4 linked regions of the Macaca mulatta genome follow. The protein of the gene in region 1 interacts with the protein of each later gene in a pairwise test. Links are inferred from orthologs where the notes say so. Each region holds a gene or a part of one and is shown on either strand. Other genes may lie near its edges.

Region 1 (3,500 bases):
GCAGCGATCTCCCCTCCTGTCCCTTCTCCGTCAGACTGGAAAAGGCTGGAGAGAGTGGCAGTGCCGAGCTCCATTCCTCCTGTTGCCATGCTGTGGGGAGCCGTGTGGGCAGGGACAGGTGATGGCTGAGCTCCTGCCCCCCTGCCGGCTGGGGCGCCCAGAAAGCCACGGGGGTCCCGGGGTCCCTCCAGGACAGGTAGCGGCCGAGCCTTTGTCTTGTTTGAGGAAGAAGAAAGGGTGGTGAGGGTGGCCACGTCCCCACCTGGCTGTGGTTTGGTTCATTTTCCCTCATTGCTGAAAGGCTGATCAGTGTGGGGATGATGCTTTCCCAGTGAGGTGAGGTGTCCGCTGGCCAGGGCAAGAGGCAGGCGTGGGCGTGGAGGAAAGGTGGGCCTGGCCCAGAGAGAGCCGGGAAGCGGAGGAGGCAGGGGTGGGTATGGAGGAAAGGTGGGCCTGGCCCAGAGAGAGCCGGGAAGCGGAGGAGGCAGGGGTGGGTGTGGAGGAAGAGTCGGCCTGGCCTGGAAGGAGCTGGGAAGCGGCGGCCTTCCTTTCTGAGGAGCCCCGGTCTTTACAGCTGGCACTGGAGGCTCAGTGGCCAGCCCCGTCCGCTCCGTTTCCACCACTGCAGGTCCTTGTTGCCGGCGTTGGTTCAGGCCAGAGTTGAAATGGCTTCTGTTGCCTTTAGGGTCCTCCGAGTGTAGAAAGGAACAAAAGTCCTATCCTCAGATTGGGGCTCTAGTGCTCCAGTGAGCCTAGCTGGGAGATCGTTCGTGCTTTTAAAGGTGAACGAACGGGTGCGCGGTGAACCCTTGCCCTGCTCCAGCTGCTGCTGCAGGAGGAGCTCTGTGCCTCGCTGGTTGCTGAGCCCTGCACACGCTGCCTGTGCTCAGGGCTGCTTGTGGTTTTAGGGAATGGCCACCAGGCTGGGAGGCGAGCTTTAAGTCCGGCCACACCGTGCCTTTGGGGTGTGTGTGCTGCAGTGGCTGAACCACTGTGCAGCTCCTGCTTGATAGATTGCATCTCAGTGTGTCCACCCGCATGAGACACGGGGCGAGGGGCCTGCGTAGCTGTGGGGTGGTGATGCCAGGAACCCTGGACGGTGGCCCCAGTACACTGAGGGTCCCCGTGCACCACACCTGCTGCCTGACTTGCGTGAGTTTTGTGAGCATTTTTTGGTGTAGTTTGTATGTGTGTGTGGTTGTCATTCTGGGCATCGGCTGCAGCTTTGCTGATGTCTTCAGTGCCTGTGGTGGCTGCTCAACCAGCACACAGTTCAGTGACACACTGGCCAAGCTGCAAAAGCATCTTGTAGAATGCCTGATAAAGGAGGAGGCTCAGACCCTGCAGTGTTCGGATCAGCGGGCGTGACATTTCGTGTAGTCCGTTCCCCAGATGAAGAGAATGCTGTGTGCCCTCTGGTCAGTGAAGACAAGCGTGTGCGGTGCAAATTCACGAGTTCTGAAGGGATCAAACCACCACCCCCCAGCCTGCTAGTTAGAAAACAGGCTCGGGTGAGATTTGAAAGATCAAGCTTTGATTTTTGTGTGGAAGGAACATGAGTTAGTGAAGGATGCGTCTCAGAGACCCCTGCCCTGCCTTCCCCGTGGCTGTGCCTGGGGACCCCTGCCCCGCCTTCCCCGTGGCTGTGCCTGGGGACCCCTGCCCCGCCTTCCCCGTGGCTGTGCCTGGGGACCCCTGCCCCGCCTTCCCCGTGGCTGTGCCTGGCGTTGCTGTTTGAGGGTTTGTATTTCCAGGGTGTCTTTCGGGACTGGTGTTTGCTGAGACCCGAGGGGGCCCCTCCCTGAGGAAGGCCGGTGGGATGCGTCGTTTTCTTCTTTCAGCAGGAGCTAGTGTGGCACTTCTGGAACCTTCCGATGTTTTTACCAAACTTGATCTTTGGTTCCAGGGATGCCCGCCGTCTGCAGCCCCGGCATGGTGCCCGTGGCCCTGCCCCCGGCCGCCGTGAACGCCCAGCCCCGCTGTAGCGAGGAGGACCTGAAAGCCATCCAGGACATGTTCCCCAACATGGACCAGGAGGTGATCCGCTCGGTGCTGGAAGCCCAGCGAGGGAACAAGGACGCCGCCATCAACTCCCTGCTGCAGATGGGGGAGGAGCCGTAGAGCCCCCGCCTCGCTGCCGTGTCACCCCAGCTCTTCGGACACGCCGACCGGGCGCTCCCCAAGGAATGCTGTCCCAACAAGATCCCCGTGACACGGCCCCTGTCGCCCCTCCCATGGACGTCTGGGCTGCCCCGCCCACGCCCGCTCTGGGTGCATGGGGGTTTTCGGTTCCTGGCGGCCCAGGACGGGGCGGGGGCTCCCTTCGCCTCTTGTGCTGGGAGGTCTCGGCGCATTCTCCTGCCCCCAGGACGTGCGTCTCCCCTTCTCATGCTGTTCTGGAAAATGTTCTTGCTGTAGAGAGCAGCTGCTTCTGCCAGGGTGTTGGAGGTGGTGGAGCGCCTTCTGATTCCATTCATGGCATTTTGTGATGTGACGTAATTGGAATAGAGCTGTTGATTAAGGCACACACAATCCCTCACACTGATTTGTGGGTTTTTTTAGAACTTCCCAGCCGAAAACTCACGTCCTTGCCCTAACGCGCTTTGCTGTGAGCCTGGCCCCTGCCCAGGGCTTGGGTCTGGTGAGCCAAGCCGCTTCCTGTGGATGGCGTGGGGCCGGCCTCTGGCCTGGCTCACCTGGCCACTGTCCAGCCAGCCTTGTGACAGACTCCAGCCTGAAGGCAGGATGAACCCACACCTGGCATGAGGAGGGGAGCCTGGCACGGTTGGCCGGGCTCTGCCTGATTGCCAGCCAGCGGGCATCTGAAGCCGGGTCCTTCACCCTCAGGAGGTTGCCGTCCGTCTGTCCTGCTGCTCACGCCAGCTCCGTGGTGTCCCCCCAGGGGGCTTCTCTTCTCAACAGGCCTTGCAAGGCTGGGGTGGGAGGTGATAGAGGCGGCATGTGCATGATTCTGAGAGGGTGTTGCAGCACTGCCAGCCGACTGCTGACGACAGCTTGGGCAGCTGCTGTGCCCGGGACCTAGGTTCAGTGTGGGCTCGGGAAGCCTGGCGAATGTGGCCGCGTAAAAGCTTTCTGAGGCAGGAGGCTCGCCTCACCTCTGCCTGCCTGGGCACCGCGTGTAGCATCTTGGTTTGCAGGACAGATTTTAGGTGACACCTGGTTATGAAAGTCAGGAATTTGAGAAACTTCTCACAAGTGATGCACTTTACGTAATCCGCATGCCATCGAGACGCTTGTGTGCGCACCCGCATGTCTGCCGTTTGTGGTTCAAGTGTCTGCCCCCAGCCTTCGGACGGAAACCCACTGATACGGACAGAAAGAGAAGGCCCAGTGGTCTTCTGTGGAAGATGCAGAAGGAGGAAGTTAGTGCTTACATTTTAGTCTTTTTCTCCCTCGAAAAAATAGGTTAAGTTTCAGTGTCAGCTAGAAAATACTGCTTTCCGCCACCGACTGGGGGTGGTTTTTGTCAAATATACTGT
Region 2 (4,196 bases), on another chromosome or scaffold:
ATAAATGGCACCATCTGAAATAGTTACTCGCCCTGAATAGGCAGGTGGAGAATATTAGCTACAGATGAGACAAATCCCATTATGAGAAATATCATCACAACAAGAATATTTCATTCCAGATTTTAGAATCCCAGGTTTTGGCTCACTTCGGTCAAGAAAAACTATAAATAATTGAGTTCGAGATAAATAATTAAATGTTAGCCTCTTGGAGTGCATGGCAATTGGTTTTGATCTCTATATTAAAATTCACAAGACCACGGACATAAGTCAAAACAGGTCCCCTTCGTCTCCCTAGTCACCATATCCAGGGCTAAAAAACAAACTTGAAATGGGTGCCAGTTAGACTATAGGAAACAGGATCTACAAGCACCAGGAGCTCATCTATGGCTATCTGACATGGCCTGGGGACGCATCACTCTCTGGCAGCTGGAGATTGTTAACATCGCCAATTCAATGTTAATTGAATGCAAAGGAATAAGAAATAAATTCTGGTTCCCAAAGGGCAGCTGGAAAGGTGTTGGGCTTCTCAAACTCAGGCCTAAAACCAAGCATCCTCCTTGCCAGAGGAAACGGAAAGCCCCTCCCCCATTTTTAGAATCAGGCTGGAAAACACGGCTCCCAGAAAGTGGGGTTAGAAAACAAGAGCTTGCGTGGCGGCGCCCTGTGGTCCCTCGAGGAAACAGGAGAGACACAAAGAGGGCCTGCTCCTGGGAAGCCCTAACTTCGAACCCAATCCTTCCTCCTAGACATTACCTACAGCTTCAAAGGGCAGGGCGCACACCTCCCCTCCCGCATCTGTAGGGCGAAGGCAGGTCGAGGGTAAACATTTCTAGTTATTCAATTTATTCAGTGGTTAACTATTTTGTGGGTACCAGACACCGACCTAATCGGTTTACGTCCTTCCCTTAATTCTCACAATTCTGAATTTGTGTTATTAACCCCTTATTATCTTTGGTCTACCAAGGGCAGCCAAAGAGGCGCAGAGAAGAGTGACAATCTGCCTAGCAAGCGGCGGGATCAAAGCCTGGGTCTCTACTTCCCAAGCTGGAGATCTTGGGCTTCCTGCTCCTCCTGCGCGGGGCGAAAAGCCCACCTGGGATCCGAGCGGGCGGCCGCGCCACTCTCGCAGGCTCCATACGCCCACCGCTGCCCGCCTGTACCACCTGCAGCGGGCAGCGACGCCTCCTTGCCGGTCCCGCAGGGCGCGCTGCAGGTGCGCGGGGCGTCCCGAAGCCCCGCCCTAGCGTCCCTGCCCCGCGCCCCGCTCCTCACGCTCGGTACCCGCGCCCCGCAGCGGCAGCGCACAACGCACCGCCTCCGCCAGAGCCAGGGAAGCGCTCGGGCGAAGAGGAGGAGCCAAGGGTACCGAGCGGGTGGAGTCGGGAGCCAGAGAGCGGTGGAGGCGGATTTCCTGGGCCCGGCCCTCTGGAGCTACCATGGCGTTTGGCAAGAGTCACCGGGATCCCTACGCGACCTCCGTGGGCCACCTCATAGGTAAGGAGGCGCGGGGAGAGACGCCCAGGCAGGCAGGGGACCGTGGGATCCTTTCCTGCTTGATCCATTCTCGGCCTGCAGAGGACGGAGTTAGTCCAACTTGGAGAAAATCCTTCCCCTCCCCCAGCAACTTTCCCAGGGCACCCGCATTCCACCCGGCCCCCTTTCGTCCGTTTCCTTCTTGGCCAACTCACTCTAGAACCCGCAGTCCTCAAAAATGTACCTTCCTTTCGATGTCTCCTGGGGAGTGGAACCAAACAGGTGAACCGCGGGAGTCAGGCATGGAGTATTTGGGCCTCCACAAGGAGACACCAGAAACTTGTCGGCCAGGGGAAAGTTATTCCTAAACGCACACTCTCTAGGGCACGGTATTGTTATGCCCGTTTTACAGAAGAGGAGGCTCTGGGAGACTAAGTGATGTGACCTTACTGTGAGGGGCAGGTCTCCCCAAACCAGTTTTCAATAGTGCCAAGCTTATACAACCTGGATTGCTTTTCTGGGTAAACAAAGATAATGAAAATGCTTGGCATTGGAGTGAAGAGGAGGGGAACAGAGGAGCCATCTGGGGGCACGGAGGTCTCTTGCAGGCCACTAGGGACTACACCGGCATCCACCTAAAAGATTTCTCTCTCCTCCGAATGTACCTTGCATGATGTATGTAGAAGCCAGTGATTGGACTCTTACAAGCACCAGCTCACTGCTCCCTCTTTTCCCTGATTCCTCCCTTGGGAATTGGGTGTGGCACGAGTGCATATTAATGCCAGGCAAAGTGTGATGATGTCAGGAACTTAGTGGGGTGATGAAATCTTGAGAACCTAGTAGTTGTAGTAAAGAGGCCGAGATTTGGAAAATTTAGCTCACAGCTCTACTAACTGCCGTGACACCGAACACACCACTTAAACAGAACCTTAGTTTACACATCCTTATAAAATGGTCAGAGTAGCTACCATTGAGGAGATGCTTTCCCTTGATGGCTGTGCTTTGTTGGATATTAGAATGAACCCTGAGCAGAAATGGGTTCCGACTGTATCTTCATAGGCAAAAGAAACTTCAGCAATTCATCTGCTTAATTTTTTAATTCTGTAAACATGGACTAACTGTCAGCTATGTGTCTGGACCTGGATCAGGCACTGGTAAGGCCAAGGTGAGACGTGATCTCAAACCTGAGGGAACTCATTTTCTTGTAGGGAAGACCGCACGGTTTTGTGCCGCACCTTTGCAATGCAAGAAAATGCAAAACACACAAAACTTACCGGAAGGGAGAAATGAATTCTACTGTGGCTTTTGAAGGGTGAATGGGAGTTTTCTAGGAAGATAAGCTTTGTCCATTTGGTGCCAAATTCAAGTTTTGTTTGTTTTTTGTTTTTTGCTTTTTTTTTTTTTTTTTCTTTTTTTTGAGTGTCGCTCTGTCACCCAGGCTAGAGTGCAGTAGCTCTCGGCTCACTGCAACATCCGCCTCCCGGGTTCAAGCAATTCTCCTTTCTCAGCCTCCCGAGTAGCTGGGACTACAGGTGCACGTCACCACGCCCAGCTAATTTTTGTATTTTTAGTAGAGATGGAGTTTCACCATACTGACCGGGCTGGTCTCGACCTCCTGACCTCAGGTGATCCACCCGCCTCGGCCTCCCAAAGTGATTGGGATTACAGGCGTGAGCCACCGCACCCGGCCTCAAGTGGTTCTTTTCCTTGATTGAAAGCAAGCCAAACTTTGGGGTTCCCCGAAACAAGTCCTTATTCTTTCTTTCCCTTCTCTATCCTTTTTGGTTTTTTCTCCATTTCCCCCAGAACCCCGTGTTTTCATTCTTAGGGATCTTATCCTTCTCTTAGGAAGATGTTAGCGCATTCATGTTGAGTGTTCCATTACCCTTTCCAGGTAACATCTTGTATTGCCTGATTATCTAATGATAGGGTTCCAAGTGCAGAAACATTCTGGTCAGCCTGGTGCAGCTGTGGTTAGTTTAGATGCTTGTTATTATTAGTTTGGATAGTTACTCAGTGCCAGTTTGAAACAATTAACACTGATAGTAAAAGTGTATGCAATGGAAGTTTTTACGTAGTCGAGATAAGCAGTGTCTTTGCAAGTATTGGTTGAAGTTATAATAATTGGTAAAATTAGAAGGAATCGTGAGATTAAGATGATAGGAGAATAAATATGTTACTATTATTTGGAGTTATGCCAATATTTTGGCTCCTAAGACCAACGGATTACTTCTCTCCTTTAAAAATTCTTTCCTCCTGTCCCCCCAGAGAATAAATTATTTTTAAAAACAAACAGTGAGACCAAACAACGTAGATTTGAATGCCAATTCTACTTCATACTGACTGTATGACTTTGGTAATTTCCTAACCTCTCTCAACTTCTGTCTCATCATCTCTAACAGTGGGTTAAATGAGATTGCATATGATAAAATACGTAGCACTATGCAGTTCACCTTGTAGGTAGCTGCTCACTAAGCCCTAGTTCCCTTGTCTGAAAGCCAGGCAGGTGGAGATTTAGCTGGCCTGGCCTGGGCCTGTGGCCAGGTATTGTGCTTGCAGTCTTTATTAATAGATCACTCATTACTGTTGCTGCAACAGCACTCTGAACTTGGGTTCTGATTGATTCCTGAATTACTGAGAACGGTTCCAAAAAAAATCACTTTGCCCTTTGGCAATATACACTTAATGACACTTGCTAGTGCAGCCTAGGCAGATTATTTCAG
Region 3 (4,133 bases), on another chromosome or scaffold:
CACATTTGAACAGTTGGCTGCTTGTGATTGACTGTCACTCAGCTTCTTGTTAAAATAGTAGGTTACAGTTTGTTTAACATCATTAGGTTACAGTTCACTAGTATAAGAAAGCTTTAGGTCAAACTTAAAATACGTATGAAGGCAGCTTTAGGCTAAACTTAATTCAATTTAATACATTCTAATAGATAGAAAGTCCTAATGGTGGGTTTTCTTCTTTACCAAAGAAAAATGTCCTTTTTTTCTAACTAATGATTTATGTACTTGGATTTTTTTCACTAGATAAATAACAAATAGTATAATTACTTTAGTATTAACGAACCATGCAAACTCTGTCTCATCCTACCAAAAAAGACAAATTTACTAAAAGGCAATAATTTTGTTTTCCTGCATAAGATTATCATGAGTTGCTCAAGATTAAGTTAGCTAAAAAGAACTCTTCCATAATAAAAATTAATTGATAATACGTTGTCAAAACACTTGTGATCCTGAACTATCTATTAGAGGGGAGTCAATATTAACAACAAAAAAAACTACAAATAAATGCAAAACTCCCATTATGAAGGAAATTTAAATAATAACAATGTGGAAATAGTAATACTTACTTGTATTTTGAATATTAAAATATATAACAAAAACATTTTTAAATAAAAACGTATTCACCACTATTTTTTTAAAATGTGGGACATCATGCTTTATATTTATTAAATTACTTATTTCAAGCAACATGATCATATACAAATACATTTCGTAGACACATGGAAATGTAGCAATTTTTTATGGATTGCATTCAGTAAGTAGAGGGAGATCAACTGATGTTTTCAAGGTCAAACCTAAAGGAAACTAACCCACATTTACTTAGCCCAGCATTGAAGAAACAAAGAATTCTGCTAAGTAGGAGTTTTGCTTTTCAGACCTGTGTCTTCTAACAATTCTGTATTTCGCCCTTGAAGTAAAAATGATCACCCATTTATCCTTGACTTTACTAAAGATATTAACTTTTATTCAGTTAGGGTATCCAGTTTTATTCAATTAGGGTATCCAGTTTAAGAATTATAAAAGAAAGAGTAGAATAGAATTATTCTAGGAGAGTTATCCTAGGAGAGTTACTCATAACCAAACCAGAAGCCAGAAATGATCACAGGAAAACATTTCTCAGGGGATAATTTAATAACATTACTGAAAGTGTGGGAATCCATATACCACCTAAATGATTAGGAAAGAGGTTATTAGCTAAGCCATTGTCTGAAACCCACTGAATCACTGGTCCTTTTGAACAATGATTGGTCCTTTTTTTCTAAAGATGAGTTTTAAAATTTAAGAGAAGCACTAAGCAGCAGAGCTGAGAGAGGAAAAGAACACAGATCTTGCATGGTTCAGATTTTTCTTTATAGGTCCAGGAGTAAGGTAAGATATCAAATCTTTGCTTTTATAATTTGAAGAACCAAAATCAGTGAACTCTGCAGGATAGATTATCAAGTTCACCCTAAATGCTTGATTAGGTCAATGATTTGAACCAGGGAAGAAAGTTTCACATCTAGAGGATAAGAGAAATATACTTAAACAGGTTACACCATAAATCAACATCACACTTTAATTTTATACTCTATTTCCGTAAATTACAAAAACATTGACTCAGTTGCTTAGTTCTAATATGTTATTCTTAGACTACTAAGTGGAAATTATCTGGTTTTGGACTGGTATTGTCAAATCTCTATTGAAGTACTTTCAACATAGACATTAAAGTTGTTATAATAATAAGTCCCTAGTTGGTTAGCCCTAGTCATGACCTCCCATGGTCTGAAGGGCCTGCTCCTCTCCTTGTAGGGCAGCACCAGGAGATCATCTTGTTCGTTAATGCATTCAACCACATCATATGTCTCCAAATGAGTTTTTTGTTCAAGCTAAAAGGACAAGCAAACAATTTTGTTTTTTATAAACAGCTTGTCTGAGAGAAAATAGTTATATTGTAGAAATTTACAAATATAACTTTTTAAATTTTAAATTCCAAAATGTAAGTAAATACTATAGAATTCACCCAACTATTCCTTTGATTGAACAATACTAATTATTTTGTCATGAATTTTAAGTAAAGTCTTTATAAAGCTAAAGATCACAACTTATTTTCTAGATATATCACACAAAAATGAAAATTATAATTCTTCTTGGATTCCTGGGAGCCACATTGTCAGCCCCAGTAAGTGATTTTATGGCACTACTGATCTCATTGTGTTAAACCTTCAACAATCCCTTCTTTTTACTATTTCTGATTTCTTTTTCATTTTTACTTTTAGCTTATCCCACAGCGTCTTATGTCTGCCAGCAATAGCAATGAGGTTAGTTTAAATAGTTAAACAATCTCCTCCTTTCTTTTTAATGGAAATCAAGTGGGAAGAGATAAATGTCGTCATTTGGTTTATACTGTGTTCCTCTCCACTAGCTTTTATGTATATCCAAGCACATTTCTAATGTTCATGTTTGATTGTATAATAGGTTACCTCTAAAATATTATTCTACTTCCCTTGCTTGATTGTTAATTCTCCAAAGGCACATACAATATTGTTTATATCTTTTTGTTCTAATAACACCTAATACAGGTGTATATAGGTGTTTAAAAGCATAAAATGACTAAACCACTGGAATGAGCTAACATTGTGCAATCTCAGACCCAACAGGGGAGAGGTTGCTAAATCCAAACCTTGTTTTAAATCTAACTTCTAATCACTGTAATTCAATGTAAGCCTAGTGAGAAAATGTCTCATTTCTAACAAGAAATTGAGCAACCAGCTGTGACTTGTGCTATATTTATAGTAAACATTGTTCTTACTCATTTTAGTGTGTAGTAATCTTGATTTCATATTATTTTTCCTTTTCTAGCTACTTCTTAATCTTAATAATGGTCAACTTTTGCCACTACGACTTCAGGTACCTCCATTTCAATAATTACTTTATGGGGAACATTTTTCTATTGCTCATTTCTTATGTTATTTTGTATGAAAACAAAATGTTTCCTGATCCTATTTCTGAAATCTCAATTTTTAATGTTATGAATTTGTCTCATATATTCTAGTGACCATTTGTTTGAAGGTTAAAGTAAAAACTGTAATTTGATTAACACTTATTTATTGAGAACTTGGTATATGCCAGGCACTAATTCTCACAACTATGAGATAGTTAAAAGTAATTATTTCACACAAAGTCATGCCCAGTTAACCAGTAACAGCAGGTTGTGGGGGCTTAGGGTTAAGGTAGGGGAAAATACACAAGGTTTAAAACAAGTCTGGCATATGCAGATGTTGTGCTCTTTTATCAACCTTGTCCTGCCCCATATTTCTCATGGCCGTCGGGAATTTAGCATTTGCTTCACATTATTTGTTTGGTTCAAAATGAATCAAGATCCTGTCCTTTTTTATATTGCAACATCGGAGGTATAGAAATTGTTTGTATTTTGTCTCTTTCTTGCTCAGGACTGACCTTTAAATTCTTTTTGGCATGAAGGGAACATGCTTTCTTGCCTTTGTGTCTTTTTAGGGCCCACTTAATTCATGGATTCCACCTTTCTCTGGAGTTTTACAACAGCAGCAGCAGGCTCAAATTCCAGGACTCGCCCAATTCTCTTTATCAGCTCTAGACCAGTTTGCCGGACTGTTCCCAAATCAGATACCCTTCCCAGGACAGGCCAGTTTTGCCCAAGGAGCCCAGGCAGGCCAAGTTGACCCCTCACAGGCTCAAACACCGCCTCAGACACAACCAGGCCCCAATCACGTAAGTCAGGCCTCTCTGATTTTGTTCTGAGGAGAGAGAACTGCATGTTGAATTTGACAATGAATATGAATCAGCTTTGAAATAGGCAGGGGTTTTTGAACAATATTTTTTCTCATAATATGTTTCTACCATCACTGTAAGTTCTTTTTTATCTGATTTCTAAGATGAAAAATATTTAAATCAGCTACTCTAGGATACAGCAACAAACCAAAAAAGTTAAAAACAAGTCTAGGATAAGATAGGAAAACTTCAATAAAAGGCAGTTTATGTTGCTGACAGCACATGTAACACATGACGTTTTGTCGTGGAAACTTGCTAACAAATGATAAATTTATATGACTAGCTCTATGAAAAGCAGCTCAGAGATTTTA
Region 4 (4,047 bases), on another chromosome or scaffold:
TTTGCTCAGTGCACAAACATTATTTAAGTACATGTAAGCTCCGGAGGCTATAAAAAAGGAAATCCTAATGCCCTTATTTTCCAGCTAGGGAATCTGAGGCTCCAGGGAGGGAAAGGAACTTGTCCAAAGTCATACAATGAATTACTGACAGAGACAGATGCAGAACCTGAGTATCCGTATTCACATCCAAAGCAGTTTATACAGTACCAAGATGAAATCATTTGACAGTTATGAGGTCAGATATGATGGCTAAATTCTGGGAAAAGTTATCAGTGGACAGGGTACCTCTCTTTTATGAAAGGAGGCTGGAAGACGGAACCCCTTAAAAGTCGATTCTAGCCCTGCTCCCTCGGGAAATGCTCCCTTAGTATTTCTTTTTTATTCAAAAGCTTGATAAGCCCAGGACTAAAGGGTCTTGGCTGTGTCAGCACGACTGTAAAGTGGCTGGGAGAGGACCTACGTGCTCATTTTATGAGAGGGGCCGGGACGGCGTTCTCCGAGAAAAGGGTCACAGGAAAGAGTTAAGTCGGGCGCTGTCTGTCCCTGCGAGTCCTCCCTGAGCCTCAGCTCCCAGGTCTCACCTTCTCAAGCGCTGGGAACTCCGCTGGTTCCACGCAGCTGACGCGTCTCCCGGTTGCTGGGGAACCAAGCGCCGCGACTTGGTTGCTAACGGGAAGTCAGGAGGGAGACATCCTGGGTGAAAGTTGACAGATCACGTGACCACATCTCCTGGTGGAGAAACACTCCTAACACCAACCAGCCGTAGAGAAAACAAATGTTTCTCCAATCAGCACTTTCTATGGGCGGGGATATTCCTAGATTCACCTCTGTTCCGTCCTGCTATTTGAGTGATTGACTCGTCTTTTGTCCAATAATAGTAAGAATCCTTTAGATTGACCAATATTCTGAGGAATCAAAATGCGCAACTTCCTCTTCGGGGGGCGGGCCAGGGGAGGTGCCACCACGGCTGACAGAGACTGCGGTGACCTACCTCGCTCCTCGGCCCAATCGGACGCTGCGGGGTGGGTGGGGGCTTTGCTGACGGAGGTGTAACGGCCAATCGGAGGCGGGCTTTGTAGGTGTCCCCCAATAGAGACGCGGTAAGGGGGCGGGGCCAAGGTCCCGGCGCTCGGCGTTCCAGAGGGTGGGGAGGGGGCAAGTGTCAGTCAGGACGGGAGTCCGGCGGGTTACCGCTGAGACCTCGGTGGCAGACAGGGGGCCCGGGCCGCTGCGTGTTGTCCACCCAAGATGGAGTTCCTCCTGGGGAACCCGTTCAGCACCCCGGTGGGGCAGTGCCTCGGTAAGGCCGCGTGTGGGGCGGGAGGCTGGGCGACCGCGGCAGCTGATCCGGGTGGTGAGGACCGCGGGCCTCCTCTGGGCGCCGGTGCCACTTCACGAGCGGGCTGGGCCTCCGCCAGGCGCGGGTGCCACCCCACGAGCGGGCTGGGCATCCTGGTCGTCGGGCCTTCACTGGGCGCCGGTGCCACCTCACGGGCGGGCTGGGCCTCTGCTGGGCGCCCGTGCCACCTCACAGACGGGCTGGGCATCCTGGTCGTCGGGCCTTCGCCGGGCGCCGGTGCAACCTCACGGGCGGACTGAGCCTCCGCCGGGTGCCGGTGCTATCCCACGGGCAGGCAGGGCATCTGTGTCCTGGGGCCTCCTCCCGGGCACTGGTGCCACCTGACAGGCGCCAGTGCCACTCTGCCAGGAGGCACCCCGAGGCCCAACTTGAACTCGGAGATGCCCCAGGCTTCCCTGCCCATCAGGACTCAGCCCTTCCTTTTGCTTCTAGAGGTGGTACCAACTGCTGGTCTGCTTCCCCAATGCCCTTTGGGAGATGCCACTGCATGTGTCTTTATCCAGCCCAGCAAGCTCGCTGCCACTGCCCCAAGGACCTAGTTCTCCCAGACCCTTTGTGGGATGTCACCTTCTTCTCCATCTTTGTCCCTCCTCTTCGGTACCAGCAACCATCAGACTGGGCACCCTCCCAGAAATGCCCCCTGCTCCGGGACTTGCTAATTTGAGCTGCAACTCAGCTGGGCTGTAGGAGGGACTGGGATGGGAGGAGGGGCTCTTGGAGGGTGATTATCTTGGCAAGGGGATGGCATGCCTGCAGTGCCTCCCAGGAAAGAAGGGAGGCTGTGTTATTTAATGACAAGAGCCCTGGTCTGGGAATTATGGAAGCCCAGACTCTAGCAGTGGTTTTGCCAGTGACTTCGTATGACCTTGTGCCCTTTCTGATTTGAAGTTCCCCTGTCAAAGTGTTTGGAGATGAGATGTGGTAGGTCCCTTAAACTTCTCAAGTTTTGATATTCTTTGTAGTACTCTGCACTTTGACTGTTGCTCCCTCCCCTACCTCATATTATATTTACCAAAGCTGAAATCTTTTGTTGGCAATGTAGAGAGAATGTTATTCAGGATTATCTGTTAATCCTACAGAGGGGATGTGGACACCTGGGGACACCAGAGATGGCCAGAATCCTGGATGAGGAAAGCCCAAAGTGTAGGTAAAGGAATACTGAAATGGCCACCATATGGGACTTCCTTAATAAAAAAGCAACTTGCCTTTTCACCCAAGGCAGTGGCTTATGCCACTTGATCAGTCAAGAATGCTGATTAATTTGTTTGAAGACTGGGTTCCTCCTGGTTGGTTGAAGGACTGGTAAAACATCTTTTATGAGCCAGGATCTTTGGTGTTCTTATGGGCCTGATTTTGGCAGTAGTGATTTGTTTATTTTCTGCTTTGCTTATGAAATTCTAGCTTACTTTCCAGCCTTTAGTGGGTCCTGGGAACTTATTGAGGTCTCTCCTGTTAGCTAATTAGCATTTTGGAGCCTTTCTTTACTTTCTGGCATAGTATCTTTTTTAATGCATGATGGACCCCAAAAGAGTGTTTTCCCACCTTTTTGACATTTTGTCCCTTGCTGCCCACTGGAGAGTCTCTGAATTTTCACTTCCTAACTTCTTCCTCGTGGCCTTTCTCACTCTCTTCAGGTTCTCTTGCGTGGCAGCCACACTCCAAAAACTAATTTCCAGCCAGTTAATGGAGGGAGCCAGAACACTTGGGGGAATTATTTTCTCTTCTGTCCTCTTTAAAATAGGAAGCTCTACACCTTTAAAATGACAAGGTCGTAGATGAGGGGTAGAAGTTAAAGGGGATTTAAAATACAAGTATGACCGGGCACGGTGGCTCATGCCTGTAATCTCAGCACTTTGGGAGGCCAAGGCGGGCGGATCATGAGGTCAGGAGATGGAGACCATTCTGGTGTAATACAGTGAAACCCTATCTCTACTAAAAATACAAAAAAAAAAAAAAAAAAAAAAAATTAGCCAGGCGTGGTGGCATGCACCTGTAGTCCCAGCTACTCAGGAGGCTGAGGCAGGAGAATTGCTTGAACCTGGGAGGCAGAGGTTGCAGTGAGCTGAGATTGTGCCACTGCACTCCAGCCTGGGCAACAGAGTGAGACTCCATCTCAAAAAAGCAAACAACAACAACAAAAAAAACCAAAAACAAATATAAGGGATGTAGGGATATATAGCAAGTGGAAAGAGCGTGTTATTTCTGTTAGGAAGACCTGAGTTGAATTTTGACCTGGCCCATTTCTTGGCTGTGTGACCCCAGAAGATTGTGTTGCCTTTCTGAGGTTTAGTTTGTCAGTCTTCTGAGAGAGAGAGAGAGAGAGAGAGAGAGAGAGAGAGAGATTCATATTCACAGAGTGATGTAGTTTAAATGAGATAATGTATGAAAACACTTAGCATAGTATCTGGAACATAGTAGAAGCTCAGTAAATTGAAACTGTCACTGTTAATAACAGGATACTTAAGTTAGGGTTGAATTTTCTATCCGGAGAGGGTGTGTGAAACAGCTGGCCCTTCTGTGACCTGTGAAGGACAATACCCTACCAGGCCCCAGGGTTCACCATTGCTCATAAGATGCTTGACTGTAAAGATGATGATGGCTCCCCATTGCCAGGTAGCCAATAGGTCATTTCAGTTCAGGTAAATGATTAATGGACAGAATGAGGTTCTAATGTATATTCTGTACTG

What was found.
Region 2: the proteins of TOLLIP (region 1) and TOM1L1 interact in binary tests that used the Homo sapiens proteins (3 or more experiments, as listed by UniProt). The link is inferred for Macaca mulatta from reciprocal best matches to the Homo sapiens genes TOLLIP and TOM1L1.
Region 3: the proteins of TOLLIP (region 1) and ODAM interact in a two-hybrid assay, tested with the Homo sapiens proteins (2 studies listed by BioGRID and IntAct). The two-hybrid records come from large-scale screens. The link is inferred for Macaca mulatta from reciprocal best matches to the Homo sapiens genes TOLLIP and ODAM.
Region 4: the proteins of TOLLIP (region 1) and TOM1L2 interact in binary tests that used the Homo sapiens proteins (3 or more experiments, as listed by UniProt). The link is inferred for Macaca mulatta from reciprocal best matches to the Homo sapiens genes TOLLIP and TOM1L2.

The regions. Positions count from the first base shown.
Region 1 is NC_133419.1:1,219,000-1,222,499, forward strand, and holds part of TOLLIP (toll-interacting protein), read left to right. Parts: intron 1-1,906; coding exon 1,907-2,121; 3' UTR 2,122-3,500. UniProt on the Homo sapiens protein: Component of the signaling pathway of IL-1 and Toll-like receptors. Inhibits cell activation by microbial products. Recruits IRAK1 to the IL-1 receptor complex. Inhibits IRAK1 phosphorylation and kinase activity.
Region 2 is NC_133421.1:55,064,556-55,068,751, reverse strand, and holds the start of TOM1L1 (TOM1-like protein 1), read left to right. Parts: upstream 1-1,396; 5' UTR 1,397-1,436; coding exon 1,437-1,494; intron 1,495-4,196. UniProt on the Homo sapiens protein: Probable adapter protein involved in signaling pathways. Interacts with the SH2 and SH3 domains of various signaling proteins when it is phosphorylated. May promote FYN activation, possibly by disrupting intramolecular SH3-dependent interactions.
Region 3 is NC_133410.1:63,701,690-63,705,822, reverse strand, and holds the start of ODAM (odontogenic ameloblast-associated protein), read left to right. Parts: upstream 1-1,333; 5' UTR 1,334-1,368; coding exon 1,369-1,404; intron 1,405-2,124; exon of another isoform or gene 2,125-2,128; coding exon 2,129-2,194; intron 2,195-2,291; coding exon 2,292-2,333; intron 2,334-2,874; coding exon 2,875-2,922; intron 2,923-3,528; coding exon 3,529-3,762; intron 3,763-4,133. UniProt on the Homo sapiens protein: Tooth-associated epithelia protein that probably plays a role in odontogenesis, the complex process that results in the initiation and generation of the tooth. May be incorporated in the enamel matrix at the end of mineralization process.
Region 4 is NC_133421.1:19,534,498-19,538,544, reverse strand, and holds the start of TOM1L2 (TOM1-like protein 2), read left to right. Parts: upstream 1-1,247; 5' UTR 1,248-1,248; coding exon 1,249-1,300; intron 1,301-4,047. UniProt on the Homo sapiens protein: Acts as a MYO6/Myosin VI adapter protein that targets myosin VI to endocytic structures. May also play a role in recruiting clathrin to endosomes. May regulate growth factor-induced mitogenic signaling.